2 linked regions of the Bombyx mori genome follow. The protein of the gene in region 1 interacts with the protein of each later gene in a biochemical or structural test. Links are inferred from orthologs where the notes say so. Each region holds a gene or a part of one and is shown in the gene's direction. Other genes may lie near its edges. The genes, in order: protein SHQ1 homolog and H/ACA ribonucleoprotein complex subunit 4.

What was found.
Region 2: the proteins of protein SHQ1 homolog (region 1) and H/ACA ribonucleoprotein complex subunit 4 are reported together in a solved structure, tested with the Homo sapiens proteins (2 studies listed by BioGRID, with this or other methods). The link is inferred for Bombyx mori from reciprocal best matches to the Homo sapiens genes SHQ1 and DKC1.

Annotation. Positions count from the first base shown.
Region 1 is NC_085132.1:6,841,936-6,859,671, forward strand, and holds protein SHQ1 homolog, read left to right. Parts: upstream 1-7,461; 5' UTR 7,462-7,715; coding exon 7,716-9,113; 3' UTR 9,114-9,845; downstream 9,846-17,736. Other genes in the region: wolframin, read right to left, coding at 2,148-2,247, 3,846-3,950, 4,714-4,747; uncharacterized protein LOC101744633, read right to left, coding at 11,663-11,817, 12,384-12,557, 13,344-13,495, 15,225-15,414, 16,249-16,306, 16,684-16,880, 17,543-17,728. UniProt on the Homo sapiens protein: Required for the quantitative accumulation of H/ACA ribonucleoproteins (RNPs), including telomerase, probably through the stabilization of DKC1, from the time of its synthesis until its association with NOP10, NHP2, and NAF1 at the nascent H/ACA RNA.
Region 2 is NC_085130.1:16,020,035-16,035,859, forward strand, and holds H/ACA ribonucleoprotein complex subunit 4, read left to right. Parts: upstream 1-4,072; 5' UTR 4,073-4,310; coding exon 4,311-5,716; intron 5,717-6,923; coding exon 6,924-7,050; 3' UTR 7,051-10,309; downstream 10,310-15,825. Other genes in the region: DNA-directed RNA polymerases I, II, and III subunit RPABC3, read right to left, coding at 896-1,055, 2,923-3,215.

The DNA of each region.
Region 1 (17,736 bases):
CCTCGTTTTCATTTCGTCTCATCACATGTCGATACCATCGCGCACTTCTCAACTTCTCTGTCACAGGTGCCACTTTCAGACTCCCTCAAACATATTATATTACATATCGTGCGTGTGCGACAAAACATCATTTTTATTTACTTATATACCAGCTTTTCCGCACTCTATTCATAATTGAGACTAGTTGCACGGTTTTAATATCGCGTTTATTATTACCGACATTACGAATACCTTACTTACCTGTGTTGAACATGAAACATTGGTGAGGAAACTACATCACTATGGTATTAGGGATGGTGCATTGGAACTTATTACTTCCTATTTATCAGGAAGGATACAAACAGTAGATGTGAAAGGAAATAGATCTTCAGGCACCACGTTAAAAATGGGTGTACCTCAGGGTTCCATTTTGGGTCCTTTTTTATTTCTAATATATATAAACGATTTGCCTAGTTTTATTGAGTCCCGACACGAGGTCGTATTATTCGCAGATGATACATCTTTATTATTTAAAATTAAACGACAATTACAAGTCTATGACGAAGTGAATGATGCGATTTCGTGTGTGGTTCATTGGTTCCGTATCAATAACCTATTATTGAATAGTAAGAAAACGAAATGTATTAAATTTACTTTAAAATGTATTAAATCATCTTTAAATGTGAGACAAGTAGATAGTAATGTAATTGTTTCTGAGGAATCATTGGAGCTTGTTGAGTCAACCGTATTTCTTGGTATAACAGTGGACTCCAAACTGCAGTGGGGACCTCATATTCATAAATTGGCGAGTAAGCTTAGCTCTGCAGCATACGCAGTAAAAAAAATTTGAATGTTAACAAATGCGGACACGGCTCGTTTAGTTTACTTTAGTTACTTCCACAGTGTCATGTCCTATGGCATTTTGCTATGGGGCAATGCGGCCGATGTAGAAATGATATTTATTCTGCAGAAAAGAGCTATACGTGCTATTTATAACATGCACTCAAGGGAATCCCTGAGGGAAAAATTTAAAGAAATTAAAGTTCTCACTATGCCATCCCAGTACATCTTTGAAAATTTGATGTATGTTCGTAAACATATTGAGGAGTTTCCTAAGATGTCGGACATACATAATAGAAATACTAGGAACAAACACAAGCTTGTTGTGCCGATGAGTAGGTTACATAAGATACGAAATTCATTCGGGTGTTTGTCTGTGCGCCTGTACAACAAAATCCCACAAGATGTTCAGAACCTACATATAGATAGGTTTAAGAAAACTATTAAAGAACATCTGTGCAATAAAGCTTACTATAAAGTCAATGATTATCTAGAAGATTGCACAAAGTGGGAATGAGTTGCTCGCTCCGGGAATTTCAATATTGTAAAATTGTTATGTTATAATTACTTATTGTAATATGAATATTAAAAAAAAAAAATATTTAATATAAAAATAAAAATCTAATATTAAAAAAAAAAAAAACATGCCCGCTGAGTTTCTTGCCAATTCTTCTCAGGACGGAGGCTAATTCTTGTGAATTGGCGGTAATTCTTTTGACGTTCAATAAGTATGTACTTTCATTTATGTTGAATAAAACTTTTTTGATTTGATTTGATTTGATTTGATTTGATTTGATTTACAGTTCTCGTGGGCATTTCATGGACGACTCGGGTGTTACTTGTCAACATTTGAATATTGTGTTAAGTACCGTCAAATCTATACATATAAATAAAATTGGAGTGTCTGTTTGTAATATTGAAATAGCCTCTTTTTACTACATGCATATGAATATATATACGGTTCATACACCAAAATAACATTTTTTACAATTTTGGTGTGTCTGTCTGTCTATCTGTCTGTCTGTTTGTTCCGACCAATCTCTGGAACGGCTGGACCGATTTTGACGGGACTTTCACTGGTAGGTAGCTAATAACATAAGGAGTAACTCAGGCTACTTTTTTAGACTAGCTTCGCCCCGCAGCGTCACCCGCGATACGACAATAACCGCGGGTAACGTCGCGGGACATCGCGCGACTCACTCGGGCTCAATTATAAAATTTAATGTTACCGAAGCGAAGCCAGGGCGGGTCGCTAGTCTTCAATAAAATATAAAAAAATTTATTAACAAAAGTTTTTTTGGAGCCTTCAAAAAAAAATTTATACTAACCTTCTTAAAAGCCTCCTTGCTTCCGGGTGTGCTTGTTCCGTTGCGCATATGAGCCATTCTAAAGCCTGTTTGAAATTTGATATCTTGTCAGCCTCAAGCTCTGAAACATTTTATTTTTATTTACCAACTCGAACAAGCTTAAAGTTGGTTTAGCGACGCATTATTAGACCTTTTTTAGGCCTTTCTTTATTTATTAATGGTTGGACGAGCTCACGGCCCATCTGGTGTCAAGTGGTAACTCGAGCCCATAGACATCTACAACGTAAGCGCCGTCACCCACCTTGAGACATGAGTTCTAAGGTCTCCATTTTTACAGTACAACGGCTGCCCCAGCCTTCAACCGAAACGCATTACTGCTTCGCCGCAGATACAGGCAGGGTGGCACCTACCTGGTGGGACCTACTCGTGTAGACTAACACGACGCCCTATCACCAGTAATTACGTAAAATTTAAATAACTTCACTTCAGAGCAATGTCAAATCGAAAGTTTTATACCTACTTCATTGAGTTTAATAAGAATTATTAAGCAATCATTTCAGTCTACATCTGTTCAAATATCTTTGTGCAATTGGAGGAAATACAATACGTGATGATTACATCAATATTGCAGGTTAAATCCAAACCATTTTAACATCTCTTTTTTTTGTGTTTCAAATAAATTTAGTACATTTTAATAACACACTCAACAGAATAGCTTTATGATTAAATTGTAAATAGCTGTAAAAAATATAAATAAATAAATAATAATAATAAATAAATAAATAAATAATTACTAACAATCACGCCACGTTAACTGGTCCCGTGATAAGTTTGTAAAGAACTTGTGTTACAGGTACCAGATAACGGATATAAATGTAAGATTTTTATTATACACATACATTATATTTAATATACATCCACAACCCTGGAAAAGACATTTATATTTATCATACAAATATGTTCCCTTGGCGGGATTCGAACCCGCGACCCCCTTGTGTAGTGACCATGTCATTTACCACTACACCAGACGGCCGTTAGAACTAACTTTATCCATATTTTTGTCTAAATTATTCACTTTGTTTTCAGATTTATTTTTTATTCTTTTATTTTATTATTACAATTATAATAATCATAGAACAGCTAATTACATATGGATTATTACTATATATGTATGTAAGATGGATAATAAGAGATATGGAGTATGACTGACTGAGAGAGATAGGAGATGCCCTGTTAAAAGCTAAGAAAGACTGCGAATGGATGTTTTAGATATCGTTTTATTTTAAGCTAGAGAAGGACTGAGGGTAGTTACTCGATGGAATGGAAGACATGTTGTTACTCGGAAGACGAAGGATATGTATATTTTATTTATTTTGCTATAATAAAGATGGAATCCAAATCAAGTTTGTGTGAAACAATCAACAGTTTTATTAGCTCAATCTGAATAGAGGATCCCACTATAGATATTATGTATATACATATATAAATAGAGATGATGACCAAAATTTGTGTTCATGCTCTAGCCTCATTGACCTCCTTCTGAACTATTTTAGTTATGCAACAGTAGACCTGGCTTGGAGTTATAGTGTGAGAATGAATTCCAGGCCAATAATATGTCATATTATTTGATAATGATTTTCCATTTATGTTAAGACATTTTGATATTTGGCAATGTTTTGTTTAGTGTAATCTCTTATACCTTGTACTATTTACACTCACCACATTTTTCTTCCAAGAGCTGTTTAGCCAGTACCACTTGAGATTCAGCACAACCATCCTCAGCTAACTGATTCCTAAGTCGACGTAGTGACCCTTGAGGTCCATCTGAAACAAGATCGTTCTTCAACAGTATTAAAGGTACATTCTTTATGTATGACATTTGAAGTATATATAAGTAAATTATACAGAATAAAGGAAACATTTATTTAAAAGAAAATTGTCTCAAGATGTGGCATGTTTTCATTGTACCACTAAAACAGCTGCACCCTTTGCAGTTTGCAGTCATATGTCTAGTCTCAGCCACCACAGCAAAGAACCATGGTAATCTTAGACAACTGCAAAGGATTTAACAATGAGACTTCTATGCACTTACAGTGTAGTGTACAGTGCCTAGTAACAAGGTGGAATGATGATATACATGGAATAGCAGGCAATGGCTATAAATGAGGCCCAGAATCAGGTTGCATAAAAAGACTTGGTAATAGTATATGTCCAACAGGACTAGAATAAGATGTTAATGGATGGATGATGTGATATTTAAGCTTTCTAAAGTAAGAAACTTACTACTGACAACACACATAAATAATAAGCAAATATATGCGGGGGTCAGGGTTCAAATGTTTATTTACAACAATTTAATATTAAGCTGCAAAATTCACACTATAAAATTAAATAAATAAATGCATAAAATAGTTACCGATTTTTACTAAATTTGAATATTCACAAGGTCAATCGGAAAACTAAAAATGTGTTAATGATGAATTTTCGCTATCATAATCAGTTTTCTTAATTCATCAATCATTGTTAAATTTAATTATTGTGCCCCTACAATAAACTCCTAAATTTTGAGTTTAGAATTTTGACTTACCATGTAAATTCCACCGTTTGCGTCCCCCGGGCATTACCTTTTAATTCATTTATAAAACACAAAAATATGAAAGGTTTCCAATATATTTTATATATCCACAATAGTTGCTTTATCTAAAAATAGTTTTATTTGTTTGTTTTGATTAGAAAATTAGTAAGAAACGCACAGACGGTTCGCAATTTTTTGCTTCAATCTCAATGCTTGTGTCAATTGTCAATGTCATTAAAATTTGACTTGGGAAAATTTTGCAACTGCAAATTCATGGAAACATAATTTAAATAAAACCTAAATGCATGTTTTAAAATTATACTCTCACACTTAATTTAAATAGCACTTTTACTTGACTCAGTTGACTGTCTCCCTAGGTACTATGCTTTAATGGTGTAAACTGTAAACGTGATTCTATATTGTAGAAAGTTACCGTGTGTGTGGATTATGATTAAATTTAAGTCCTACGCGATCGCCCACACACGCATGCACTCATTTAAGAAAAAAACTAACGTGTTCTGAAAATAGACAAACTTTTCGACAAGGGATTCCTTGTTTATTTTCGGTTCTCCTAATTTTCATTTTGTAGCAGCTTGTTCTATTTGAAACTTGCTTATTCCGGTTATTGACCTAAGTTCATGGAAATTCAGAAATTAAAATCAAGACAATCAATTTTATCTACAAAAATAATAGTGGCAGTAATTCAAATATTTTACAACTGTGTACTGTTGTTACTGGTGGTAGGCCTTCTTGTGAATCCGCGCGGGTAGATACCACTAACCTGCTTATTTCTGCCGTGAAGCAGTAATGCGTTTCGGTTTGAAGGGTGGGGCAGCCGTTGTAACTATACTTGAGACCTTAGAACTGATATCTCAAGTTGGGTGGCGCTTTTACGTCGTAGATATCTATGGGGTCCAGTAACCACGTAACACCAGGTGGGCTGTGAGCTCGTCCACCCATAAAAAAAAATCATTTTACAATACAATTTAAGTAACATTTATGTGACCTTGCTCAGATAAAAGTGCTATGAAATAGTAATATGTATATTTTTATCCAAATTCTCAAAAAAACAACGACATTGTAGGTATTAATTTATTTTAGCATTCAAGCGAACTATCATTCCTAATTGCCTTAATCGTATATGCAAAGAATAAGTATTATGGATTAGGACATCGTGACCCACTTGCTGTGATAAATTGATCAGGAAGTCAATATTGGTTTCTTTTTTGACGAAAGCATACAATGTGGACTCAAAGTATTAGAATTATAAAAAGGTTAAGAGGCTCAAACATAGTACATATTTCTATTTATATAGTGATTTTATTTTTGAGTCTTGCCAAGAAGTTGATAAAATTAATTTCGTTTCATTCCAGTTTAATTGTTACTTTCATTTTGGTTTCAACCTTACGTATATTTCTTTCAGTAGCAAAGTATACTTGAAATGTTTCAATTGCAGTTGAAATGTTGCATTTAGTATGTACTTTACTTTCAACAAAATGAAAAACTATTAAGAATTCTAGCTAGGAACTCGAGGAAATAATCTGAATTGTTTTATTTTGTTATTATTATGATTATGTTATGTTATTTGGTGCATCTTGTAAACGTGTAATATTAGTTTCTTATTAAACGTTTAGTATTTAAGAAAATGCACAATTTTGAAACAAAATCACGGAACGCTGTTTGTAGTGTTCTTTCAAATTCATTCAACTGCATTGAACTTCTTATAATTTCCTACCAAATTACTGAGATGTTATTTCATTTCATGTAACTCTGCACGGTATCTATAGCTTATGTTTCCTTTGCATAATCAAGAGTGAATAAAGAAATAAAAATAAGTTTGACATACTCTGGTTTTAAGTAGAGATGGCCAAAAATGGCAATTTTTATTGATGAAGACGATGTTTTCCTTTTTACAAATAGTGCTTATAAAATAAAATAAACTAAATATCGAGACCGTTTACCTTTTTCTGTTGTAGAAAATAAGCATTCCAAAAGCAACGACGTCGCGTCAATTAATAAATGACGATAATTATGTTCTTAGCTTGGATCCTACTACTAGTCTCAAAGACCGATACGACCATTTTAAAGCATTGTCCTTTCAGCTTAAAGGGCTATTATAGCTATGTACAGATGGGTAGGTGAGCTCATGGGCTCAACCTAAGAGAATTTTACACCTAACACTAGTGTTAAAACAAGATAAAACTAGTGCTGCAAGAGCAGCACTTCGCAGAATATAGTACTAGATCGGAATCGTGACCCACTGAGAAGATCCGGCGAGAAACTCAATGGGATATTTCTATGGGTTAGTTCAGTCGTCGAACTGTTCGTCGAAATTGAGGTTTCATGAAAACGGTGACCGTTGCTTGAAGAGCCTGAAAGCACCTGGAGTGGATTCGGGCGATCCGACAAGGCATCTTTGGAATGACAGCGGCTATAAGTTGCGCCGTCACCTGGATCGTAAAAGTAACTGGCAGTGACTACGATAAGTGGGTTAGTCGGGCCCTTTGTCGACGTAGCGTTCTGATGCAACCTTAAAATATTCACGTATCGGTTATAATCATAGTGAAGTTTAAATAGTTCTGAAAACTGGTGATTATGCATCATCATATAATCAACGTTGGATTCGATATGCATTGCTATAGCATTGTTCGATACTCTATCGAAACAAAATTTCGTGCACCGCGTAACACTACATCGATACTCGATAATGTCGATACGTATCGCGCATCTTCAGTGATTAGTGTAAATGTCAAATGTAAATGACAAATGTCAAACGGATGTTTCCGTTATGCCGGAGGGGGATTACCATGCGTTGTTTCATTGTTTGTTAACGAAATAGCTTCTACCTAATTATTTTATGAGGGTTAAATCTTAAGATATATCAAGTCCACGGTACCGAAGTAACGAACTTGTTACTTTTTTGTGAATCAGTCCATTGTTTGACTGCATCGCAATCAGTTTTAATACTAAACAAAGGCAGTTGGTGCCTGACTAGAAGATCAATAGTATACATCATGCTTACTCCACGTTTTAAATTAACGCAAGACGACAACCACATATTCGTAACAGTTCACGCACCGTATACAAACATTGGAGATACAGAAATAGATGTTGATGGCGAAAATTTCCTTTTTGTGTCTAGTCCTTACTTCCTTCGATTGCGATTACCTGGCAGGATCGTTGATGATGATCGGGCAAAAGGTTCATACACTTGTGATTCGGGAGACTTCAATCTCACATTTGAAAAAGAAACTGCCGGGGAACATTTTGAGAACCTTGATATGATCACAAATTTACTAGCACCTCGTGATATACCAGATGTCAATCCTAATCTAGTTGAAATGCTTGAAGAAGATGGAATTACCCTGGAAAATGATAGTGACAGTGAGAACTTAGAAAAATTCACATATGGCTTTGCTAATAAAATATCCAATGAATTTTGCAGCATCGGAAATGAATTTCCACAAATTTTTGAATTAAAAGCACCTGAAAATGTTGCTGTGGACGAACGTAATTCTATGAGGATGAAACATGAAAATGATAAATTCTCGTCTGATCATTATCTAGCAGACTTTTTTGATGATGAACTTCTTGCACCCTACTTATCATCCACTTCTTATTGGGACAAAGGGGATTTCAAAAATGAAGTAGAATTTACAGATGAAGAAGTAGCCATATTAAAAGAATTGCCAAACAAGCATTATTTGCTAAGCAAAGAAGAGTATAGAGAAATTATGCTCGGATTAATAGATATCTTGTTTGGGTATTGCTACGACAAAAGAACAACATTAAATGAAAGCACAGTGGAGTCAAGCTGGACCATAAACAAGCTTTCTTCAACACTAAGTTGGTTCTGCACTTTCTTAGATACAAGACATGTTTTGATTGCATGCTACAGGAGAGCACTCACTTATCCGATATTTAGGAACTATGAGCTGTGTAACAAAGTAAAGAATGATCTAGTATCACTATTACGTAAAGGCAAGAAATTGGTAATAAAATGTATGATTGAAGTACATCAAATGTTCAACACTAGTAATGATGCACGTTATATCTTAAACCAGCTTTATATCAAAGACTATTTGGTGTTCTTACAAAAATGTCGTAATGAGGAAATCATGGAAATATGCAATAATATAGCTAATATTGAGCTCTGTAAAAAAGATTTGAACTTAGAGTTAGATGAATTGGAAATGGCTGCTGAAATGGTTAAACAGGAAGAAACTGAAATCATGGAGAATGAGATGGCCGTCCAAATGGCTTCCATGTCTTTACTACCGGGACTGAAAAAGAATATTGCTCCATACCTTGATGAGAGTGATGATGACACTGACAGCTCAACGGACTCAAGTGATGATAGTTCTTCTGAAGATTCCTCTGATGAAGGCCTAGATTCTGATGATGATCCATGAAAAACAAGAGGAGTGTAAATAATTCAATTCTCGAAAGACACTAATTAGTGTGAATTTGCATGTTTTGATTGCACTTAATTTGGTTCATGCAATCAATTAATGAATTTATTTTATAAATTTTAAGATATTTGAATATGTTAGAAAGACTGAATAGTTTAGTGTCAAGAGAATAAAGGGCTGGTTTAAAGGTTTGAAAGATTCTATAATAATTAAAAAATTTAATTATATATTAATTCATCATTAAATTCTATTTAACCTATGGCAGAGTTTCAGACATTTGATAACCAATACTTTCAATGTTATTTTGAAAGTTGTGTGCACAAATGCACAGCCCACCTGATTTGAAGTGATAGAATGTCCTAGCCACTATTATTCTGTGGCAAAGATAGGCATGGCTGTAGAGTCTACACACTGCCTCCTGCAAACTGCATAGGTACTTGAAATTTAATAATTTTATTATAATGTAACACTGCCATTTTTTAAAGAAGGCAATTATTTATGTTAAGCAAAACTATAGTAGTGTTCAGTTTCTTCTCAATTTTCAAGAAAATTAATCATGTATCTCTAAGTCTAGATTAGCAATCAATGATCGATTACTGACTGCAAAGTGTAGTCTAAAGTAAGCATATTAAAAACTGATTAACCAAATCGTTGAGAAATGAGAACATTTTTAATAAACAAAATTATCTATGTATTGACATTTTCGTGAAATAAATAACTGTTTATAAAATATCACATTTATTTTACTAGTTTTCTTTTTGTTAGTTTCTAGTTTTTATGGCAGTTATAGCCATAACAGATTGTTGTTGTTGTTGTTGTTGTTGTAGTCCTAGGGCACCCTGCTGGTACATAGGGCCCTCACAAGTTGTCTCCACTTGACCCTGTCTTGAGCTTGCGTCTCCACTTGACCCTGTCTTGAGCTTGCTCCTTGACATCACTCCAGATCACGTCATCCATAAATTACGTCACACGTTATGGGGCAGGTTATCAACAGAATGTGATATTGTGTGACATAGGGCCGGGGGTCACAAGTGTTACGTGACGATTTAAGATTTAAAAAACTTACTAAAAAGTCAGCTCCTTTCTCTGTTATCTAACATATTTGACTAAGGTATGTTGACTTGATTAAATAATAATTAATAAAAATAAGAAGAAAACGAAAATAACTCTTTTTTTTTAGTGCTTAGATGGGTAGACAAGCTCACAGCCCACCTGGTGTTAAGTGGTTACTGGAGCCCATGGACATCTACAACGTAAATGCGCCACTCACCTTGAGATATAAGTTCTAAGATCTCAGTGTAGTTACAACGGCTGCCCCACCTTTCAAACCGAAACGCATTACTGTTTCACGGCAGAAATAGGCAGGGCGGTGGTACCTACCCGCGCGGACTCACAAGAGGTCCTACCACCAGCAATTACGAAAATTATAATTTTGCGGGTTTCACTTTTATTACACGATGTTATTCCTTCACCGTGGAAGTCAATCGTGAACATTTGTTGAGTAGGTACGTAATTCATTAGAAAAATTGGTACCCGCTTGGGATTCGAACACAGGTGCATCGCTCAACACAAATTCACGGGACGTCTTATCTCTTAGGCCACGACGACTTCTTTTCTTTTCACTAATATTAAGTACAAGCATAAATATGAAAAATATGTGACCTCACATTTAAAACACACAGGTTAAAAAGTGCTAAAATTCGTGTGACGTAATTTATGGCTCCTAATAATAAACCATTTTATATACCTAAAGATTAGAACCTGCCACGCCGACTAGAGTCCCTTGATTGCGATTGGCCGTCTTTGCGATGTTTCTTGTCTACACCAAGGCTAAATAAATAACATTGTTATAATGCTCAATTATGAATAAATTTTTTTCCTTAAAAACTGATAGGTACCTAACCTTTTTTATGTTTGAGAGATTACTGGTGGCCCAGAGGCCTTTCCAGTTTTACCAGGGCAGGTGAGCGAGCAAGGGCTCAGCCAGGAAGAGTGGGATTTGCTACCAGCTACCCGAGCGCCTCCAAAGGAGACTTAACAATTCAAGAGTAGCTGTTTCGCGAATGACACTGATAGCATTTAGGTAGTTGGCCCATCATTTCGTGTTGTAATTGTTTTTGTCTCGTAAACATTTCTAGATTGATCTTAATATGGTATAGGTATATCGAGGGGTGAAAAGCTATTTGGTTTAAGGGGCATTTTTGCTACTTTACAGGAGAGCTATTGAGATTTCAAAATTTAATATAATATGTATATATATTCCTAAGCTGGTAACGTTAGAGGGTTATGCCAGCGTAACCTGCCTGGTGAGATCACGGGGCTCTAACCTGAGGACGTTGCTAACACTAGCCTTAGTAAGAGCAGTGGTTCCCAGAATCTACCACCGGATCGGAAACGCGACCCACTGAGAAGATCCGGCGAGAAACTCAGTGACCTGTGTCTGTAGGGTCATAATATAAGAGAGTTTACTTAAATAAAACTACAACAAATCGGTTTTGATATTAAATTTAATAAATAAACCCACACCATCTTTTTTCTTTATCAAATTATTATTTTCTGTATTCCAGCCCAATTTCACTTCCTGATATCGGTTTTATGATAAAGTTGAACTTGAAATCTAACTTGCTTACATCACCACTGATTTTGTACTTCCGTAGAAGGTGCGCTAGATTTATTTTCATCAGCGTCAAGGCGTACGCTCTGCCTATTGGAACAAGTAATTAAGCTAAAGTAGGTACTCGATGAGTAATTATGACTTTTTTTTTATTGCTTATATGGGTGGACGAGCTCACAGCCCACCTGGTGTTAAGTGGTTACTGGAGCCCATAGACATCTACAACGTTAACGCGCCACCCACCTTGACTTACTTACTTATCAGTAAAACACTGGTGGTAGGGCATATTATGAGCTCGCAGCGGCGAATAACACCACCCTGCCTTCAGCGGCCACGGAAGCACAAACCCGTCTTGAAGGGTAGTATAGCCATTAATTTCTATAATTGCTTTAGTCGAGTGGCGGCAGTTTACGTGGTGAAGTCTATGGGCTCTCGTGTAACCATTCAAGATCAGCTGGACCGTGAACTCGTTCAGCCGTCTAAACAAGAAATTAACCAAAAAAACAAAAAAGAATAGACAAAAAATGTTGGGTACTGCTACAAAAAATGGTATAAAACTAAAATTTACTATAATAAACATTTCGTGAATAACGACTTAAGTAAATAAAGTGTTGATGTTTCAATACAAAATAATGTAGTCAAATATAGGTACTCACCAGTGCAACTTCGTTTGCCAATACTGAAAGCCGCAAAGGCGTTATCAGGTATTTTCTGGGGATCCAACCATCGTTCAGGCTTGAATTCGTTAACGTCTTCACCCCACACTGTGTGGCGATTTATACCAAACAATGATATCGAGCAATCAGTTCCAGCTTTAAGTGTAAAATTTTCTAAAACAAACCGTTTAATAAAGTATAAGATTATTTCGTATTTTTATACAATTAAGATTTAAAAAAAACTATCTCATAGGCACATATTTAGTCTCAATTAGTGAACTAGCAACAGCCCGTGGGCAAGGAGTGATGATATTTTAAGAAGGCGATCATCCGTCACCAGTTTGTCTTTCTTAAGACGCGTGACAACTTACACTTACGTCTCTTTGGGTCTCTCTCGCCAGACCCTAAACCTCACACACCGCGGTCTACTGGTGCTTTTTTTTGCCTTTATATGTTGGTAGTCTCGAGAGGCTATGCCAGCTCCATCTAAAATGGTCAGGTCTTCTTCTTCTTCTTTATTTTTCGGCTCCGGCACGGTTTGTGTATTAGCCAGCGTCAAGTAATCAGTTTTTTGAACGAAACGAAATGAAATGAAAACGAAATAAACTGAAATGAGATGAGATGATATGGTATGAAAAATAATCTCAGTAAAATGGTGGTAATTTACTAAGACTTTTTCAGTGGACTTTTTGGAGGATCCCGAGAAGTAACGTTCAACGGCTTTATTTCATTTTCCCACATTTGTTCACTTTCGCAAATACTATATTGTTCATAAACTACCGTTATTACACATTTAACTTCAAGAAACACTAAATAGACAAAGTAAAACAAATCACACAACTTCACTCCTCGAGTTCCCGCCAAAAAAACCCGTGCTCAGTTCAACAAGGCAGTTCAGTCGCAGAACATGAAAGGTTTTCGACTAGATACTTGAAATTAAACATTTATTCAGGCACTCACTAAGTTTGACATCCTCCTCGATATGTCTCAGACTAACCGGTCCCATTGTATAGAGTCTCATGGTTTCCTTCAGGACCGCTTCAGTGTAAACAAGTTTAGATAAGTCTTCTTTTTCTAGATCTCTGTCTGAATCACCAAAAACATCCATGATCCTGGAACATTCGTATGATATCAGCGATTGACAGCTAAAATAACAGCTTTTTAACAGCAATGATGTGTCTTTTGGATTATGTATGTAATGTATAATATTATTTTGATTTCATAGATATTAATGACAAAGAGAGCTAAAACAAATGTTTAGCGTGTTTAATATTAAAAAGGTAAAAAGAGTGCAAAAATTAGCTATTCACTGATTAACATAATGTATAAAAAATTCTGGCAGTAAAATATGTTACAAAAGAATTATATTAATGAATGAATTGAATTCAGTTTAGAGCCTGTCATTCTCGTTTAAATGTGATATTATTACTAGAAATAGATTTTATGGAGTCGAACATAATCTTTGAATTTTTATTTTTATTTAAACTTCGATTCAAATAAGACGGCTGTGGATGAGCACTGTTTTATCTTTAATATAGTTATGCATTTAGAGTTTACAAGTTTGTGATTCCGCCTCTTTGGGACGCAATGAATCCTCCTTGAAGGCGTAATATTTTCAAGAAATGGATTACCAAAGAACATTACATTAAATTTGGAACTAGCGCACCCGCCATTCGCATTCCCGCTTATTTGCAACGCGCAACATTAAAAAAATAAACTAAATAAAACTCGTTTTTTCACCGCTATCCCATCCTATCAAAACTTTCAATTATTGTAATATTGTGAAGTGTTCGCGTCCGTTCACCGCTCATAAGCAATTAAGGAATCTTATCGCTGAAGAAGAGTTCGAGAACATCAGGTGAGTAAAGAGTTTTGTTTTCTGATTCAAGCTGTGTTATTAGAACTCCAATGCGCCGCCAAAATTTGGCTACCGTCTGCGGATCGCATCTCATAGCTTTAAACCATTTTCCATCCGCATACCTACGTGATGTAATACCAATTACACGCCACATTATCTTACTATGTATTTTGTTATAAGTTAGTACCTTTGGATTTCATTAACAAGATTTTATATTAAAAATTGTCCGACAAAGCCAAAAGTCTCAATACAATAAGAGATTTAGTTCATCTTTTGCCGCATTAAAACGGTTAAACATTTATAATTTATCACAAATTATGAAAATTTAATGTTGTGTATTATTGCATAATTATTGAAGTCTTCTCCGGCTTAGATATGATTATTAGAGTCGCCACCGTGGAAATTAGTACCGGCATATACTTAATAAACGTCTAGTGACTAATCTTAATCCTCTGCCACGACTATAAAAAAGCAATAATAATTTTGTCGCACAATATTAAAAAAATTATTGGAATGTCTTTGTGTATTTTTTAAATTTGTTTTAATTTTACTTACTACGCTTGAATGCTGCAACGTTAGTGTTTAATTTAATTTCGCTTCAACTCTAATTCTCATATGGTGTGTATTTAATTCATTAATAGATTTAATTCTTTACTGTTGGTAGGAAGTCTTGTGAGTCCGTACGGGTAGGTACCACCACCCTGTCTATTTCTGCCTTGAACCAGTAATGTGTTTCGGTTTGAAGGGCGGGGGAGCCGTTGTACTGTTAAAATTGAGACCTTAGAACTCATATCTCAAGGTAGGTGGCGGCATTTACGTTGTAGATGTCTATGGGCTCCGGTCACCACTTAACACCAGGTAGGCCGTGAGCTCGTCCACTCATTTAAGCTATAAAAAAAAAAAACTTAGGTGATGTGATACAAAAATGTCGAAAAAAATGGTTTTATCATCTCTTAGTTAGTTACTAGTTACTAGTTACTCACTCGTTGTAAGCCCTGTCTTGAACTTCTGGAAACGATCCCAAATTTACAAGTACATAAACCAGGATCCACGAGGAAGTGTCGAAACCAGCCATAATTGCTGTGTCAACTTCCTCTCTGATTTCCTGGTCTGTTAGAGCGTCTTCTTTAGCTAATTTCAACATAAGATCCAACAGACCTTGATATTTATTATCTGCAATCGATTAAAAAAAAACATGAAACAAATGGTTTTGTGTAAAATTACTTCGTTATGATGTAGTCGGCGAACTTAAACTATGCTGACTTAGAATGGATCCACCTTTTTACATAGAGACATGGTGACAAACGACTAAGGGACCGGAGAATTGTAATAGTTATTGACAGCGTTCTCTGAGTAATTTACCCGTCTCGCCAACGAACGTTTACTGGTGGTAGAGAATATTTTGAGCACGCATATGCGGGTAGTATCATCCTGCCTACTTTTGACGCAAAGCATCATCCATCCTGGTTCGTAGGTGTCATGTCAATATATTTGATTTCGACCCCACCATTCAAGATGGTAGAAGATTTCCATGATGGTACTTATAATCCTGGTGATCAGTTAATAACAGGTTGATTGAATATGTATCCCAACTTTAGCATTGATCCTACATGCCTCCATCGTGCATAGTCTGAAATTCCACTGTGATAGAATGGATAGCTGTTATTCCAATACAGTTTTTCTAATGTTTAATTGTAGAAAAACCATTTAATACCATGTGAACGGTGAGCTCTAATGACCAATAAAAATAAACACATTAAATCAAACCAGCGGAAACCGGCCGCTGTGACGCTAATTGTGTGAAAAAGACCGTTTTTTTTTAACTAGGACTACGTCAGATGTAGAATGCTCTATAACAAAAACAGGTTCCATGTCTCTGAAGTGTGAACCACAGCGGCAGTAGTACTAATAAAGTTACATATAGAACAGTTACAAGTCAATCGCAAACTAAAAAAACTAACACAAATAAAAAATAGGATACTGATGATGATGATATTATTTCTTGACCTGTTTCGTTTGCCGCTGCTACGCCTGATGCCAGCTCAGATCGTTTTCTTGCAATAATCTGTCAAAAATAAAAAATAACAGTAATAAAATATTAAAATATACACAAAAAATTATAAACAAATTATGTAACTACACATTCCACAGTAAACACTTTTTGCAAACCTTCAAAATAATACGGGCGACTGCTTTACGACTGACAAGGCCTGTTAATAATGTATTCTTATGGTAATTAAAAGCACCTATTATTGTTAGTGTCGGGGTCACTCGTGAACATTGGTAATATCAGGGACACAACCAAGCCACTGCCTAATAAAGAGCTCTTTTCCAATATCGTATGACGCAAAAAAGCTCTGTGGTTCTAGATGGAAAGGATGAACTGTACTTCGCTGTGGTGCGATTCTAAATTAAATCTTATGAAAAATGTAAATGACTCACTTTATTCGACATTTCATTGACAATTCGAATCAGTTCGTCTTCCCTTTTTTTGATGCTCGTCAAATTATATATAAAATCAATCTGTAGCCAAACTCGAGTGAAGCGTTTTGTGATGATCGTTAATATCTCGTCTACAGCTGACATGTACGCTTTGGTGAAGTTTTCGTCTTCATTGGTATAGACACCGAATGCAGTTCCTAAAATTATCGGTTTTCATTTATTGCTTAGATTAGTGGACGAGCTCACGACCCACCTAGTTTTATGTGAGTACCGAAGCCACTGAGGGCTAGGTGGCAAAAGGTTAGCTAAAGCATAGCAGGAGCACCGCTATTGTTAACACAATCATGAAATATGTCCATTTGTTGATGTATGTACTACTTTTTTTTTTATTGCTTAGATGGGTGGGCGAGCTCACAGCCCTGGTGTTAAGTGGTTACTGGACCCCATAGACATCTACGACGGAAATGCGCCACCCACCTTGAGGTATCAGTTCTAAGATCTCAAGTATACTATTGTATTAAGTTTTTGACCTCACGTAAGCGTAGCCATCCAGTCTCGAAGATGCCTGGCGATAGTTAAGTTATGAAGTCTATGTACTAGGTAGCCAGTAAGCTCCTGACTTAATGAAAATATATGATAAAGCTTTCTATTTGCATAAGGTAGACCTTTTATAAGTGCAAAAATGACGTATGTGTCAATCTTCGATTTTTGCATCAGGCACGTTTTTAAAAAAAAATCCAATGAGATGTTTTGAATAACGTTTTAAGGTCCAAAATTGTGTTCTTCTCCTAGCGAAATTTGCTAATGTGATTGGTTTTTATTAATGTAATCCAAATAATTATAAGCAACAAAAACTTACTGAAAATTGTATTCATGGCCATTTTTCTGATATGAAACGATAAATCCTTTAATCCTTCACCCACCATAGGAGCTAAATCGGTGACGAGCTGTCTGGAGTTTTCGTTGAATATACCAAGGTAGGTGTTCAATATTTGGGGGGAATTGGACGGACTAAGAAGTTTCCGGTGACGTTTCCAAATTTCCCCTAAAACA
Region 2 (15,825 bases), on another chromosome or scaffold:
AACAGCGCCATCTATCAAAATTTGTTAAATTATTAGGCTTTTCTAGCACAAGACAAAAGTGTGCCACAAACTGCTTATATTATTCTTCCATAATAGATGGCGTTAATTTTGAAAATGTTTTTGACAATCTCATCAACTGTGGTATGTACTATGTAGTCAATAGAAGAATTGTATATTTTAAATTATTAAATCAACCCTATTTCTGCATACAATAAATTTAAATCAATATTATGATTCGATGATCAACTTCAATGTTTTTTATATATTTTTATTTTGCTGCGAACATTTCCTGGAGGTTCAACTATTTTTTGCTACCTATTAAATAATAGATGGCGCTAAAATATATAAAATAAAAAACCTTTTTGTTGATACGAAACTTAATAAGCTCTTTTCAGGATTCTTAAAGCACTATAATTATTATAATCAATACTCAATAAACATTAAATTTATTGTATACACATTACATATACACTCACGAGAGCAATATTTAACTGGATTACACTTTTATTAGCTTGAACTGTATACTATTTATAATTTTCAACGTAATTTCCACAGACTTCAAAACGTCTTGACAATTTGCAAATGAATTACAGACAGATGGTATACAATGAATTTATTACATTGAGTTAATACACAGCCGCTTATACAAGGTAGGAGAAAATCGTCTCGTCTTTATTGTTTTAAATTATAAGCATTGTACATTCCATTGTTCTTAGAGCGAGTTAATAACTTCTTGATCACGTAAAAGTTAACTCAAATTTGTATGGAGTTGGAACAGGGTCCCTTCGTTTGCCGCTAGGGGCGCTGTTCTCCATCAGAAAAAAAAAAACAAAAACATGCTTAAAAATATACAAATTTATTTCTTAGAGTTAATTTTACAAATAATATAATAGAACTAAAACGCTAATTTCTTCATCAACAAATACATGTGCTGGTCAACTTCGAAGCCGTGCAAGTTGTTCGCGTCCCCTTGCAGCCGCATCAGGAGGCCACCGAACGAGACGTAGGCCGCTAATCTGGATGCCGGCTCCATCGCTGCCTCGTCACCTTCTATCCTGGAATAAGAAGAGCACTTGTATTGTTGAATAGATATGGACTTTTTAATACGCTTTTATTACTAGTGGTAGGACCTCTATTACTGGTGGTAGGACCTCTTGTAAGTCCGCACGGGTAGGTACCACCGCCCCGGTTATTTCTGCCGTGAAGCAGTAATGCGTTTCGGTTTGAAGGGTGGGGCAGCCGTTGTAACTATACTGAGAATATAGAACTTATATCTCAAGGTATGTGGCGCATTTATATTGTAGATGTCTATGGGCTCCAGTAACCACTTAACACCAGGTGGGCTGTGGGCTCGTCCACAAACCTAAGCAATAAAAAAAAAAATTGCTTAATTTTTTTATTCTTTCCTATGCTGATAGCCTTGAGAGGCTATATCAGCTTCCCCCTAACGTGTAGTGAGCTCACGGGGCTCAAACCGGAGTGCTGCTAACACTGGCCCTAGCAAGAGCAGTGCTACGCAGAATCTACCACCGGATCGGAAACACGACAGGCTGAGAAGATCCGGCGAGAAACTCAGTGGGCTGTGTCTATGGGTTAATTTGCTCGTCGAGCCCTTCATCGCAAGCGACGGGTTCGACACATTGATAAAAAGGACTCCAATATGTAGGTATAGAACTGAACATATTTTGAAAATTTGTCATCAAATGGACAAATAAAAAAGTAAAATAGACCTTATCACAACTATGCCTAAAGACTTTTTTTACTATGTCACCTAGGAATGTATCCTCTATAATCCGATATATATAAATTACCATTCCATATTCACGGTTTCTGAAGAGCTTTCACTGTACACTCAATTGCATTAAATACAACAATTATTAGTCCAACAATGATTACTTTGCAGTAGTTCCAATGGAATACTTTTCCACTGATATCAGCCAGACTACTTCAGGGACAAGAATATATTTAATTTTTGATACAGGAGCATAAATAGTAACACAAACAGTATATCATTGTTTTTGCTTAACTAAACATAACCTTAACTAAACGTAACCCAGTTGAGTTTGCGTTAAATTTGTAATTGAGAACTAATTAATCATTTGGCAGCTATTTCAAATTAGGAGTTGCTTTTAGTCCTATTGGCTATCTGTAGATTTTCATATCTGGTGGGTACATCAAATCACAAATCGAACACTGTATTCTCATACTAAGGGATGAAATTTGCCAGTGTTCAAATCGCATAGGTAAGTATGAATGGTAGGCAATGAAATATCACAAATGGATAAATTTTGTGAGTTTTTAAATTGATCACAAATGGCCATAGTACACCGGGAGAGTGGGCAGCTCTGTTCGGTTTTCTGATATCCTGCTAAAGGTCACAGGAATCTGCTGGATGCAGGCTCCACAGGACCAGCCATTGAGGTGAGTCATGGGAAAGGTCTGTGTTCTGACGTTTGTGGGCTGACGATGATGACGAAACCCACAAAATTTATGATTTATTTGATTCCAGGTGGTGGTGGTACCTCATATTGTAGGAAGGTGCCACTCTGCCTATGTACAAAACTCATAATACTGTTAAATTGGTTTATATAGACTTTATAACCACATAGATATTACAAGTGTTCATCATCATCACCATCACCATCATCATTAGCCCAAGGCGTCCCCTGCTGGGCATGGGCGTCTCCCAATCCACACCACTGAGCCGTTTTCGGCTCTCATCCACTTCAACATCAAATTGAGGAGCTAATGTGACAGGTAGCTTCATTATAAGGAAAGATTTCCACTGAGGACATGATTTTGCTCGGTAGTTCGACGTTCCGAATATGATCGTTAGGAAATTGTATAATTGCTAACTGCATCTGTAAAATATCTTCTGTTGTACGATACCTGCCGCTACAACACCTTTATGTTAGAACTAACCTGTATACTTTTCCGGACATGACATATTCGAAACTATCTGCTCGATTTCCTTCGGTTTCCAGAGGGTTCCATTCTCCGCCGTCAGGGTATCCGTTTTCCCTCAACGTCGTGGCCAAAACTAGACGAAACTTTTCGCCTAGTTGCATTGGATATATCCAAGAATTAATGTCCAATATTAAATCCATTTTGAATGACTCCGATTCGCAATGCAATCGGCTGACTCTGTCGAACTTTTTGCCCTCCGGATCCATGTCTTTGACGTTGAAAATGTCCTCGAATAGCACGCCCGCCATGATCAAGTTTTATCCTGTGAATTTATTTTACTAAAACAATATCAACAACGGACAGTATGAGAAAGAAGCACGCTGACTCTGTTGCTGTTTGAAATTTTACGGCACTAAAAATACTATATAGGTCTATGTAAAAAAAACATTGATAATAAATGTCAATGTCAAGTGTGACTTTTTTTTGAAGTATAGGTACTGAATATTTGGATACTTTGACGGAATATCTCACACTGAAAAAAAGAATCCCATTTTACCTATATTATATATTTGGACTACTTAGATTTGTTTTTACTAGTTAGTTCCTATTTAAAGTGAGAGTGAAAGAAGTTGATAAGGATTTGGTGGAAGGACAAGATGTTAAATAGTTTTTATTTTTTTGGGTCTACCATAATCTCTGTTGGACTTTAAGCAAATTCCCAACTATGAAATTGATGGATTTCTGTTGGACGGTTAAGATTTTGAGGGGATTGGGTTCTGTCTTTAAATTATTCCATTGTACGTTCCTTGTCGATAATAATATAGTTTTTTGTTACAAAAATTCGGCGGCATAGTTTTAGTTCTCTTTGCCTATCTAATGATAAATAGGCCAAGACAATGTACGAAATTTAGGAGTTGAATAAATGTATATTTCGGTCTACGTTTAAGTTCCATTTTCTCTTTAATATTTTTAGTGTAAGTAGTGACTACGATATTTCGTGGCATTTTTTGGAAATCGTTTTTGTTTTTAAGTGTCAAAAACTAACAAAATATTATTAAAATTATCAATAATAAACGAAAAAGTATAAAACTTCAGTCCAATAAAAATATTACATGTTTATGTTCTGCTTTAAGGTTAAAAAAATTAACAAGTATCCGAATTATTTTCTGTTTTAATGTTGGCACAACGAGCTTTGCACGTTGGCGCCATCTGACCATAATCATACGCAAACAAATCTGAAGCTAACCTCAACCGAATCGCACGTGCTATATGGCCGAGCATTGTGTTATATTTTCAAAGTTCTTTCAATAAACAGTGCCCGATTATAGGGCATTGTTTACCCAAGTGATTGCGTCGATCGCCTAAAATTAAGAGTAAGAAAAGATACGTGTTAATTCATCAAAATGACGGAGGTACTGCAGCCCGGTAACGACACACTTTCAGAGAAGAAAAAGAAAAAAAACAAGGATGGTGTTTCGTTGGGAGCTTTTCAGACAATTGGCGACTTCAAAATCGAACCTTCGGAGAGCGTGAAGAAGCTGGACACCGCTTACTGGCCTTTGTTGTTGAAAAACTTCGATCGCTTAAATGTGCGCACTAACCATTACACGCCGCTACCATTCGGCAACTCGCCTTTAAAACGCCCCATCTCTGATTACGTCAAATCTGGCTTCATCAACGTCGACAAACCGAGCAACCCCAGCTCCCACGAAGTAGTTTCATGGATAAAACGTATTTTAAAAGTCGAAAAGACTGGTCATTCGGGCACGCTCGATCCGAAAGTTACGGGTTGCCTTATCGTTTGCATAGACCGCGCCACGAGACTCGTCAAATCACAACAGAACGCTGGCAAAGAGTATGTAGCCGTTTTCAACTTGCATTCAGCCGTAGAGAATATTCAAAAAGTCACACAGGGCTTGGAGAAGCTGCGTGGAGCTCTATTCCAGAGGCCCCCGCTTATATCGGCCGTGAAGCGACAACTGCGTGTCAGGACGGTGTACGACAGTAAACTCCTGGATTTCGACCAGGACAAGAATATTGGGGTGTTCTGGGTTAGTTGCGAGGCTGGATCGTATATCCGGACGATGTGTGTGCATTTAGGTCTGATGCTTGGCGTCGGAGGTCAGATGATCGAACTCAGACGAGTACGGTCCGGCATTCAGGGCGAGAAGGAAGGCATGGTCACGATGCACGACATCCTAGATGCACAATGGTCGTATGAAAACCACAAAGACGAGACTTATCTTCGTCGAGTAATCAAACCTCTGGAAGGCCTCCTGATTGCTCACAAAAGGATATTTATCAAAGACAGCGCTGTTAATGCTGTTTGCTACGGAGCCAAAGTGCTGTTACCAGGTATTTTAAGATACGAAGACGGCATCGAAGTTGACCAAGAAATCGTAATAGTCACCACTAAAGGTGAGGCAGTAGCGTTGGCCGTTGCTCTGATGACCACGTCTACGATGGCCTCATGCGATCATGGTGTAGCCGCGAAACTCAAGCGTGTCATAATGGAACGAGACACGTACCCCAGAAAATGGGGTCTCGGACCGAAAGCCTCACAGAAAAAAATCCTCATACAACAAGGGAAACTTGACAAATATGGCAAACCAAATGAGAACACACCAAAAGAATGGTTAAACAGTTACGTCAACTATAATGTTAAGAAAGAACCGGAGAATGGTGACGGTGTCGAGGAAGGCAGCAGAAAGCGAACGGCAAGCACAGCTAACGCAGAAGATCCCGATGTCTCCATAGAGGTGAAGCAGGAAAAGAAGAAGAAGAAGAAAAAGAGAGATAGTGAAGCCCCGTAAGTACTGGTTCTTTGCATTTTGATTATTTGTAGTGGAATTCAGACAATTATCGTGTCTGGTTTCAAGGATTTGTTATTACAAACTAAGTGAGAATTTTTTTTTTATTGCTTAGATATGGTTGGCCGAGCTCACAGCCCACCTGGTGTTAAGTGGTTACTGGAGCCCATAGACATCCACAACGTAAATGCGCCATCCACCTTGAGATATAAGTTCTAAGGTCTCAATATACAACGGCTGCCCTGCCTCTCAAACCGAAATGCATTACTGCTTCACGGCAGAAATAGGCAGGGTGCTGGTACCTATCTGTGCAGACTTACAAGAGGTCCTACTACCAGTAATTACGCAAATTATAATAAATGATGTCTGGATAGTGAGAATTACTGTGGCAGTACTATGCTTTATTTTTATGTGTTTATTTATTTGGGAAACAGTCCAAAACAAACAATATGTTACAAATAGGCAAACAAACAAACTCCACACAGTGTCCACTGTCAACATCAGATATGATTGTAGAAAGAACAATGAAAAAAGAAATTTATAAAATTAAGATTACAAAAAAACAACACAATGTTCACATTCACATGATTCATCTTCTCGCATTAAAACTGTATAATCTCAAAACTTACTAATTTTACAGGAGAGTGTTAGACATGTGCTATTTTTAATATTAATCATCTTTGCAGAAAAAATGTTACATTATCTGTCTTTTAAAGTAAGATAAAATTATGTATTAATTTTGATAATAGTAGTCAAAATATAGGTAAACTAAAGAAAAAAAACGAAACTATGCTCTTTTGACAGTATTTATGAGAAAAATACTGGTGATACCGAATGATTCCGTAATTAACTCAATTTCGAATATTTTTGGAAATTGTACACTTCTAATGCGAAAAGACGATATATATTTTAAACCTTACTAATACACATTGGAGCTAATGCCTCTCAAAAATATTCCAAAATTACATTTCTATATGCTACAAGTGATAAACGAAATATGCTATAAGATCTGGATGAACTTTTTCTTTTATTGCATATGTGGGTGCTGGAAAATTCATTAAAAACTATTTCTGTCTGTCCTCAAGCTTTCCCTTCTAGTCATATGCAGAACAAATATACTTGTTTGTACGATTACAAAGCCCTAGCTTATTGTGCTTTATTTATACACATTTCTACACAATCTATTCAATTTCTTCATAATTCCAGTGCCGAAGCAGACGCCACTATGGACACATCGGAGTCACCAGAGACAGCAGAACAACCAGCAGATGATTCTGTGCGCAAAGAGAAGAAAAAGAAAAAGAAGAAAGATAAACAAGAGGTTGATGAATGAATTTGATGTTGCAAAACAAACAGTTTGTAGATTTTAAACTGAGTTACGTTTAGATTTGAAAGACAACATTGTACAGCTTATATTAAGAAATTGCGTTTTTTGAATTCGACATACATTTATCAGTGATACAATAATCGGATATATAAATGTAAAAAGTTGGAGATTTCATATTGAATTAACAGAAACAAGATTAATGAAATAAGTATTATATTCGTAGCAGAAGGTATTTTCACAAAATTAAATGTAATTAATCTAATTTGTAATTAGAGAAAAAAAATTCCCACCATCTCTTATCAATAATATGTATGGAAATTTAAAAACAAAACTGCTATGTTAAGTATATCAAATTTATTGGTAAAATGGTACCCTTTATTGGAAAAATTTTGAAAACTAAACACAAAACTGGATTATTCAAAAAGTATCTAAAGTGAACATTTAATAACAAGGCAAGTTTAGGCAACTAGGAAAAATACTGATTACCTTCAAATTTAATTAAATTTCAATATGGCTGCTTTTCACGAGGGCCTTGACCTTGTCTCTCAGCTGATTCTGACAATTTGGTTACATTGTGTGTTGTCAAGAAACTTCAATAATAGTAATTTTAATTTTGAATATTAACTTCAAATCAAACTAAACTTTATGTTTTATTTTACTGAAATAGTTTCTTTACACACTAAGAATATTAAGTGTAATTACGAAGTAACATGTACCCATAAATATGTCATAAGAAATGGACATGGTATTAATTGAGAATGGTTCTCTTTTAAGCGTAAAAAATATAAGTAAATTCAAATTTTGATGTAGTTCCGTTTGGAATGGACAAATGTCTATGGCGTTTACAATATTTTAACTTTAGCAATATGTTACATTGTGATTTAGCACGTAAACTACTTAAAAAATACTGTTTTTTGAAGTTATACTTTTTAAGGCGCGTTATGAAAAATTGATGAGAGTGAAATTTTACGATGCGCGCGCACCGTGACACAAAATTAACAGAATGAAGTTGTCCACTAAATCGCTCATTACAATACAACCGACGTAACTTGGCGAGTCTGAATATAGCCGCAGGTGAACTTTCCGAACCGTACCGAGAATTACCGAATTTATACGATGTCAAGAAAAGGGATGTCAAATATGCGTGTTTGAGGATGTTGTTTAATCGATTTTTTTCAAATTGATTAAAATTTAAATAAAAAAAAAAAAATAAATTTAATAAAAATAAAGTAAATCTTCTTACGCGCGTACATAAGTACACGCACCCTTTTATATGTCTAATCTATTGTGTCAAAGAGAGTCTTAAACATTGTCAAAGAATATATGAGTCGTCTATTATCAAAGGTGGCAATCATTTGGACAAAAATTTTTTATTGATATGTCAATACAGATTGATTTGAATATAATCGTCTCCTTCAAAGAATACGGTTCAAAACCTGCATTAAATAAAGGTTAATAGTTAACCTATTATTATCTAAGATGTCGTTCCGAAGAGTTTTGTGACTGCCAATGGAATACAAAGTCAATAATTCGTTTTTCTGATTTACCAATCATTGTCCAAAAGTCAGATTGCCGGCTTTGATAATAGTCGACTCATATATTCTAATCCACATTTAATTGAGTAGTTAGTAATCTTTGACACTATTGTTGTGTTACAGATCCAATTTGATAATCCTATGCGTGTTCTAGCCACACACAACTCGACAAAATCTTTTGTGATTTTTTTTATATGAATATGCATTACATAAATAGAGTATGCATGTATAATAATAACTCCCAACTGCTCCAGACTCTCTTTTAACCGAGCTGAAATCATTTGCCTCAAAAAAAAAGGTTAGTCATTTCCGTTCTAAAACTCCAATCCATAAAATTGCAGAACTCAATGCTCAAATTGCTAAAGTTAAAATTTTGTAATTTGTCGTCGTTTATTAAAACATTGTACATTGTTAAGATAGTTTATAAGATTAGTTCATAAGTGGTACGAATGAATAATGAGGAATGATGTTTTTTTTTTTCAAAATAAAAGTCCCTAACAACTCTTTTGTATTTTTTAGTGCTTAAACTTAGATTCAGAAACAAAAACCTCAAAATACATATAGAAAATTATTGAACGATAAAACAATTTAAATTAATAGGAAAACTGGCATCTTTCAATGCAGTTCTTGTCCATGTCTAATAACCAATTTTTGAATTATTTTGATAATTTAATACATTTTCTTGATAATCTATCCTTTATGTTGCCATAAATTCAGTCTATTTGCCAAGCAATAGATCGTAATGGCTAGGCCATGTTTGGCGATAGGATAGTCTGTGGTGTTTTTGTCCCAATAAAAAAATAACTTAACATTGCATTTATGATACGGGTGTAAATATATTTTATTATTTTTCAATAATAATAAGCCTTTCCCAACAATAAAGGCACAATGGTAGATATAATAGTTTTTATAAGTATATATTATATACATAAATCTATGCGACTGTATTTAGTTAAGATTTATAAAAATAAAATTAGATTATAGGTTATACGCGGGTTTGCGTGTAAAATCTATTTTGCAAAATTCTGATCGCTTCGCATGCCGACAATTTTTTAATTAGGTGTCGTAAGCTTAAAACTAAAATAAAATGCACTATATTTTATATAATTATATTGTTCCTTTGTTTTAGAATTAGTTTTTTTTTTAATCATTTTGAGCTGGTGAAATTTAGATTAGAATTTTAAATGTCATTGACGTATTTAAGTCTTTGATTGAAAATGCTTACCCCTCGTAGAATATGTAACACTAACTAATCTAACCATAGATGAGACATATTATTATATAGACAGCATAACACTGGTGGAAGATAAAACGTATTTACGACTTTGCGTCTCACTCAGTCGTTCGTGACCTTGGAAGTAGTAAAGAAAAGAAAGATAAGATAAATAAAATTACTTTACGGCTCATTCAAACGCCTGTGACCACAAAAACTGAAGAAAAAAACCCCGGAAATACCTAATTTAAAATGACAATAAAAAACAAGAGGTTAAACCGTGAAGTTGTATTAAAAAAAGCATTTAAGCTTAAGTTCAAGTGAAGTTCTAAAAGTCTAAATATAAATTTTAAATCCAATATAAATCCAATTATTTGAGGGTTTGAGACCTCTTGGAGTCAATAAGGTATTTAGTTTTGTCAGATGGTAAGTAAAATATCATCTTGAGTTTATATTTGTAAGTACGTAATGGAAGAAGATTTTTGTGACATTGAAATAAACTATTTTTAAGGAAAAATTTGTTTTATTCTGGGATTTGATTTGACAAGTATTTTTTAAAGATAGTTTATGACTACGCCAGTCTGTACAGACGGTATATACAGGGTGTCCCGTAAATTAACTATTTACAACTAATCTGGATATTACACCAGTCCCTCACATGCGCACGAATACGCAAACCCACAAGTGTAGGACGACATTTGCGAATGATTATGCAAAGTTTTCGCTGCATTCGTGGTTTTCCAAGCTGTGTCGTTTTTTTAACAGACATCAAAGCGCGCGAACCTCGAACCTTCGCGTAGCCTCCCACACATTCGCTTGCCCAGTTGCGCCGACGATTGCGAAGGTGACGGACGTATACTATACGCCATTTTCATAGTTCGTGACGTCTACTGTGTAGCGTATCTTCATCAAAAGAAATCCCATAAAAACAGCATGGCTGTTAATGATATCTGGTAAATAGTTAAAAACTCTTTTTCTCTTCAATGTTCTATTGACGAATTAAAAAGAAGGAGAAATTCGTGAGACATTCATAAACAAGTGTAGGAGGAAGCGCAAACGGGTTCGCAAATTGAGTATGCGAACCCATTTGCACAGCCGCTAGGTTTGCGAATGAATGTTTCACGGCCCTTCACATGCGCGCAAGCATTCGTACAATGTACGAATATTTGCGCGCATGTCAGTGGCCGGCATTAATTTTGAACAGTGATGGGCAAAAAGTAATCAGATTAATAATTACAAATTACAGTTACATTGTAATTGGTAATTGAGATACTTTGTAACAGGTTACTTAAGTAACTGATTACAGCGAGTACTTATTGTAATCAGTTATAAAGTAATTCAATTATAAGTTAACCTAATTACATTAACTGTAACAGATTACTTATGTATTTGAAACAAATTACTTATAATTACTGATAATTGATCACATAACTATTCTGTTATGTTTTGTTAGGTAACCTTACAAAAAATGTCCTACTAATAACTTTTATGACAAACGCAAAAATGAAACACATTTATATACTTTTTTTTATAATCTTTTATCATTTTACGTTATTTTTTTTAAATTAATCATTGGCAGATTAAATTAAACAACATTATTTTGCTGATTTATAATTTAAATTACTTTTAATAGGACTCTTTTTTCAAACATTTCGTCTGACAGGTGGTTGGTTGGCTTTCGGAAAATTAATGATAGTAGCGTACGAAAACAAAAAAAAGTCGAAAAGAAAAAGCAGTCGTCCCCCACTCCGCACACCTTCCTTTCTAGTTCACTATGAAGTGAGCCTTACCTATTTATTTTTATTGAAGTACATAAAACCTACCTATCTAAAAAATCGATGTATGATATATATAAATATGTGTTTTTATTACAAGTGTTATATTCAAAGTAATTACGATTTACGATGTAATTGATTACTATGTAATTAGGTTAGATTGTAATTTAGTTATATTGCAATTAAATACATTGTATTCAATTACTTTCACATCCAAAGTAATTCTAATTACAATGTAATTGATTACTATATAATCAGATTACATTGTAATTAAATTATTTTGTAGTTTAATTACTAATTAGATTAAAAAAGTAACTAGTTACGCCCATCACTGATTTTGAAGTCGTAGGGTTGTCAATAAAATATTTTTTTGTTTAGATTTTCCTATCAAATTTTGTACTGGGCCAACGAATATCAAAAGGGGAATCTATATATGTATTATTGTGTATGGCTTAAAATTATCGGATAAATAAATGAATTATTATAATTTTTAATAAAAAAAAAAACTTTGTATAATGTTATCAATTAGTAGATAATAGAAATATCAGCTTACCTCTTAGAGAAACAAGGTCAGAAACGGTGAAATTTTCTTTTAAATGATGATTATCATTAGTCGTTGCACTGCTCTATAGAGATTCCCCGCCATGAGAAACCTCATAATGGACCGCTTAAATAAACTATTGAACAGAGGCATCACTGAATCAAATTTCCCCAAACAAGCTATTGAACAGAGGCCTCACTGAATCACATGTCCCCAAACAAACTATTGAACAGAAGCATCACTGAATCAGATGTCCCCAAACAAGCTATTGAACAGAGGCCTCACTGAATCACATGTCCCCAAACAAACTATGGAACAGAAGCATCACTGAATCGCATGTCCCCAAGCAAGTTATTGGACAGAAGTATCACTGAATCACATGTCCCCAAATAAACAACCGGACAGAAGCATCACTGAATCACATGTCCCCAAACAAACTATTGAACAGAGGCATCACTGAATCACTTGTCCCCAAACAAACGATTGAACAGAAGCATCACTGAATCACTTGTCCCCAAACAAACTATTGAACAGAAGCATCACTGAATCACATGTCCCCAAACAAACTATTGAACAGAAGCATCACTGAACCATATGTCCCCAAACAAACTATTGAACAGAGGCATCACTGAATCAGATATCCCCAAACAAGCTATTGAACAGAGGCCTCACTGAATCACTTGTCCCCAAACAAACTATTGAACAGAAGCATCACTGAATCACATGTCCCCAAACAAACTATTGAACAGAGGCATCACTGAATCACATGTCCCCAAACAAACTATTGAACAGAGGCATCACTGAATCACTTGTCCCCAAACAAACTATTGAACAGAGGCATCACTGAATCAGATATCCCCAAACAAGCTATTGAACAGAGGCCTCACTGAATCACTTGTCCCCAAACAAACTATTGAACAGAAGCATCACTGAATCACATGTCCCCAAACAAACTATTGAACAGAAGCATCACTGAATCACATGTCCCCAAACAAGCTATAGGACAGAAGCATCACTGAATCGCATATCTCCAAGCAAGTTATTGGACAGAAGTATCACTGAATCACATGTCCCCAAACAAACAATTGGACAGAAGCATCACTGAATTGCATGTCCCCAAAACAGGCTATTGGACAGAGGCATCACTGAATCACATGTCCCCAAACAAGCTATTGGACAGAAGCATCACTGAATCGCATGTCCCCAAATAAGCTATTGGACAGAAGCATCACCGAATTGTATGTACCCAAACAAACTATTGATCAGAAGCAGCACTGAATGATGATGGCCAAGGTTTTGAGTTTTGAATGCAGTATTATAGTCCTTGAAAAATATAAAACCTTGGTATACGACCATAAATGAGGTAGTTATAAGCAATTTAGTGCCGCTGCTGCGCTACTTTCGTTTACTGTGGAACAATTCATTAGTGAAGTACTGAGTAGACCAGTAGAAATATGGATGTCAAAACATCCACATCATAAATATAGGCATGTTATAAAACAACAATTTTCTGGCAGTATTGGTTTCATAGATACTCTTGGATAGGATATTTGAAATAAAATTTGAAAGGACAATGCCCAAAAGTGGGCTAACTTTATGTTTAAACTTTTTGTACTTGAAAAACTATGCCTTATTTTTTCACGTTGTTTAGTTTATGTATCAACATTTCTTTCACCCTGGCATTGTTTTACAAAAAAATAAATTACTTATTTGATAACACCCCAAAACTGAGTGCCATAGTTTTTAAATTCGCCAATAGGCAAAGGGCTTAGCCCGTGCAGCCTTATAGTAAAACTATATGCTGCCAAACGAAAGAGTTGCTTTAACTTGAACAACAAATAATAAAAAATTGCTAATGGTTATAATTCACAGACTTTTTAGTTTATTTTTGATCAATTCAATATTTATATATTGTAATAATAATTATTACTTTATATAATTATTTTTAGATATTAATGATTCCATTAGTAAAAATCTCAATGGCCTACCATTACTCTATTCTTATTATATATGATCAGAGAGTTTTGGCAGCAACCCGAGTGAAGCGTCACTTGAAGTTTTATTTTAATGTTTTTTTAATAGTTTATTGTGATGTTTAATATATAAATTGGGTGTTGTTTTATGTATTAAACGTCAATAATCGTTGTTCACGATTATTGAGGCATTGGAATAAGACTGTGGCTAACATAGCAGTGACTGTTTTTTTTCAAGATAGAAGGTCTGCGGAAATTCACGCTCACTCAATGTGCTATTCATCGAGTTGACGTCAAAACTCCCAAAATGCAATAAAAAGAGATACACCGGGTTTTTATTGACATTAAAAAAATATAGGCTGTATAAGCTACGCTCTTTGCCTAATTATTGGCGAATTTAAAAACAACAACAACAATATCGTTGCCGGCTTCCGGATTTTCATTTTATCTTAATTTTATTATTATTATTATTATGATAAAATAATAATAAAATGTACGTAAGGGCTTATTTCTAGCAACGTTAACCACAATTAACTTATTTAATACTGTAAATAATGATGAGAGCGATTATTGATTTCGAAGAAAACAATTAACAACTTAATTTTAGCTGCAGAAAAAAACAGATTTCTCTTAAACCTGAGTGAGAATATAAAAATCGTTTTCTGAATATGAAACGATATTTCTTTGTCTATCAAATTAAGTTAAAACCATCATTGCGCGACAACTTTTTTTAGCGGCCCAAACGCCCATAGAAAATGGGCATTGTCCTTTGAATTGATTTCGTATTCTAGATGCTTGAACCGTTGCTTGATTATTCCGTCTTGATCTGCGTACGATATTGTGAATATTGGAGTCTACAAACTGGGAAATAAACTGCTGAAAATCTGCATCTCTGTCTCAATCTCTTTCTCTTATAATATTGTGTAACAGGCACGCCTTTATAATCAACGTCGCGTGCTTTTTGTTTGCCTTTAAGCTTTTCGTAAAAATACGAAATGTATTAGTTAGAATACCAAACGCGTACTGAATTGTGACTCTTGCCCGGGATAATCTTTTGTCGAAAATGATTTATTCCGCATTTAAACCACCCGGTGGATAAGGGCGCATCAAATATTTTTTAAGCCAATTAACCAATTAACACGTATGGTAAATTGAGATTTGAACCTGGTAATTTCTGTGAATGTTGAACCTATTTTCTATTAATAATCTACTTATCGGGATAGTTCTTATATTCCTAATAAATAGTGTGGAATTCGCCAAGTTCTCTCCTTTTCTAACTGGGTGCGCTCCTATTCTTGATTGAATAATATCTTCAGCCAGCGAACGCACTTAATTCAAGGTAAAATCGTACCACTTTTGATAGGGACATTTGATAGGGCTCCCTAAATACGTGCACCTCTGACGCCGCCGCCGTTTAAGTGTATAATCTATGGCCGCCGTCGCTAATAGTTTAGCTAAACCCCAAAGTAATGAACATTTTCCAAATAAGATATGACCTAAAGGTCTCTGTCACCAGGTCATAAAATTAAAAAAAAAAAAAAAAAAATAGTTTAGCTAAGGCAATACCCCCGCAAATCACACCGCTCGCTGCGTCTCGCAACGCACCGCAAAACGCACTGCCGGCAGCTGTGGCCAGGCCCTTAGTCGACCGTAGATGCGCCACCGCGCGGCCTTGTTTACGTTTGGTATAATGGTAATGTTGCGTATAATATTATAACAATTTCGAATAAATATTGTTTAGTGC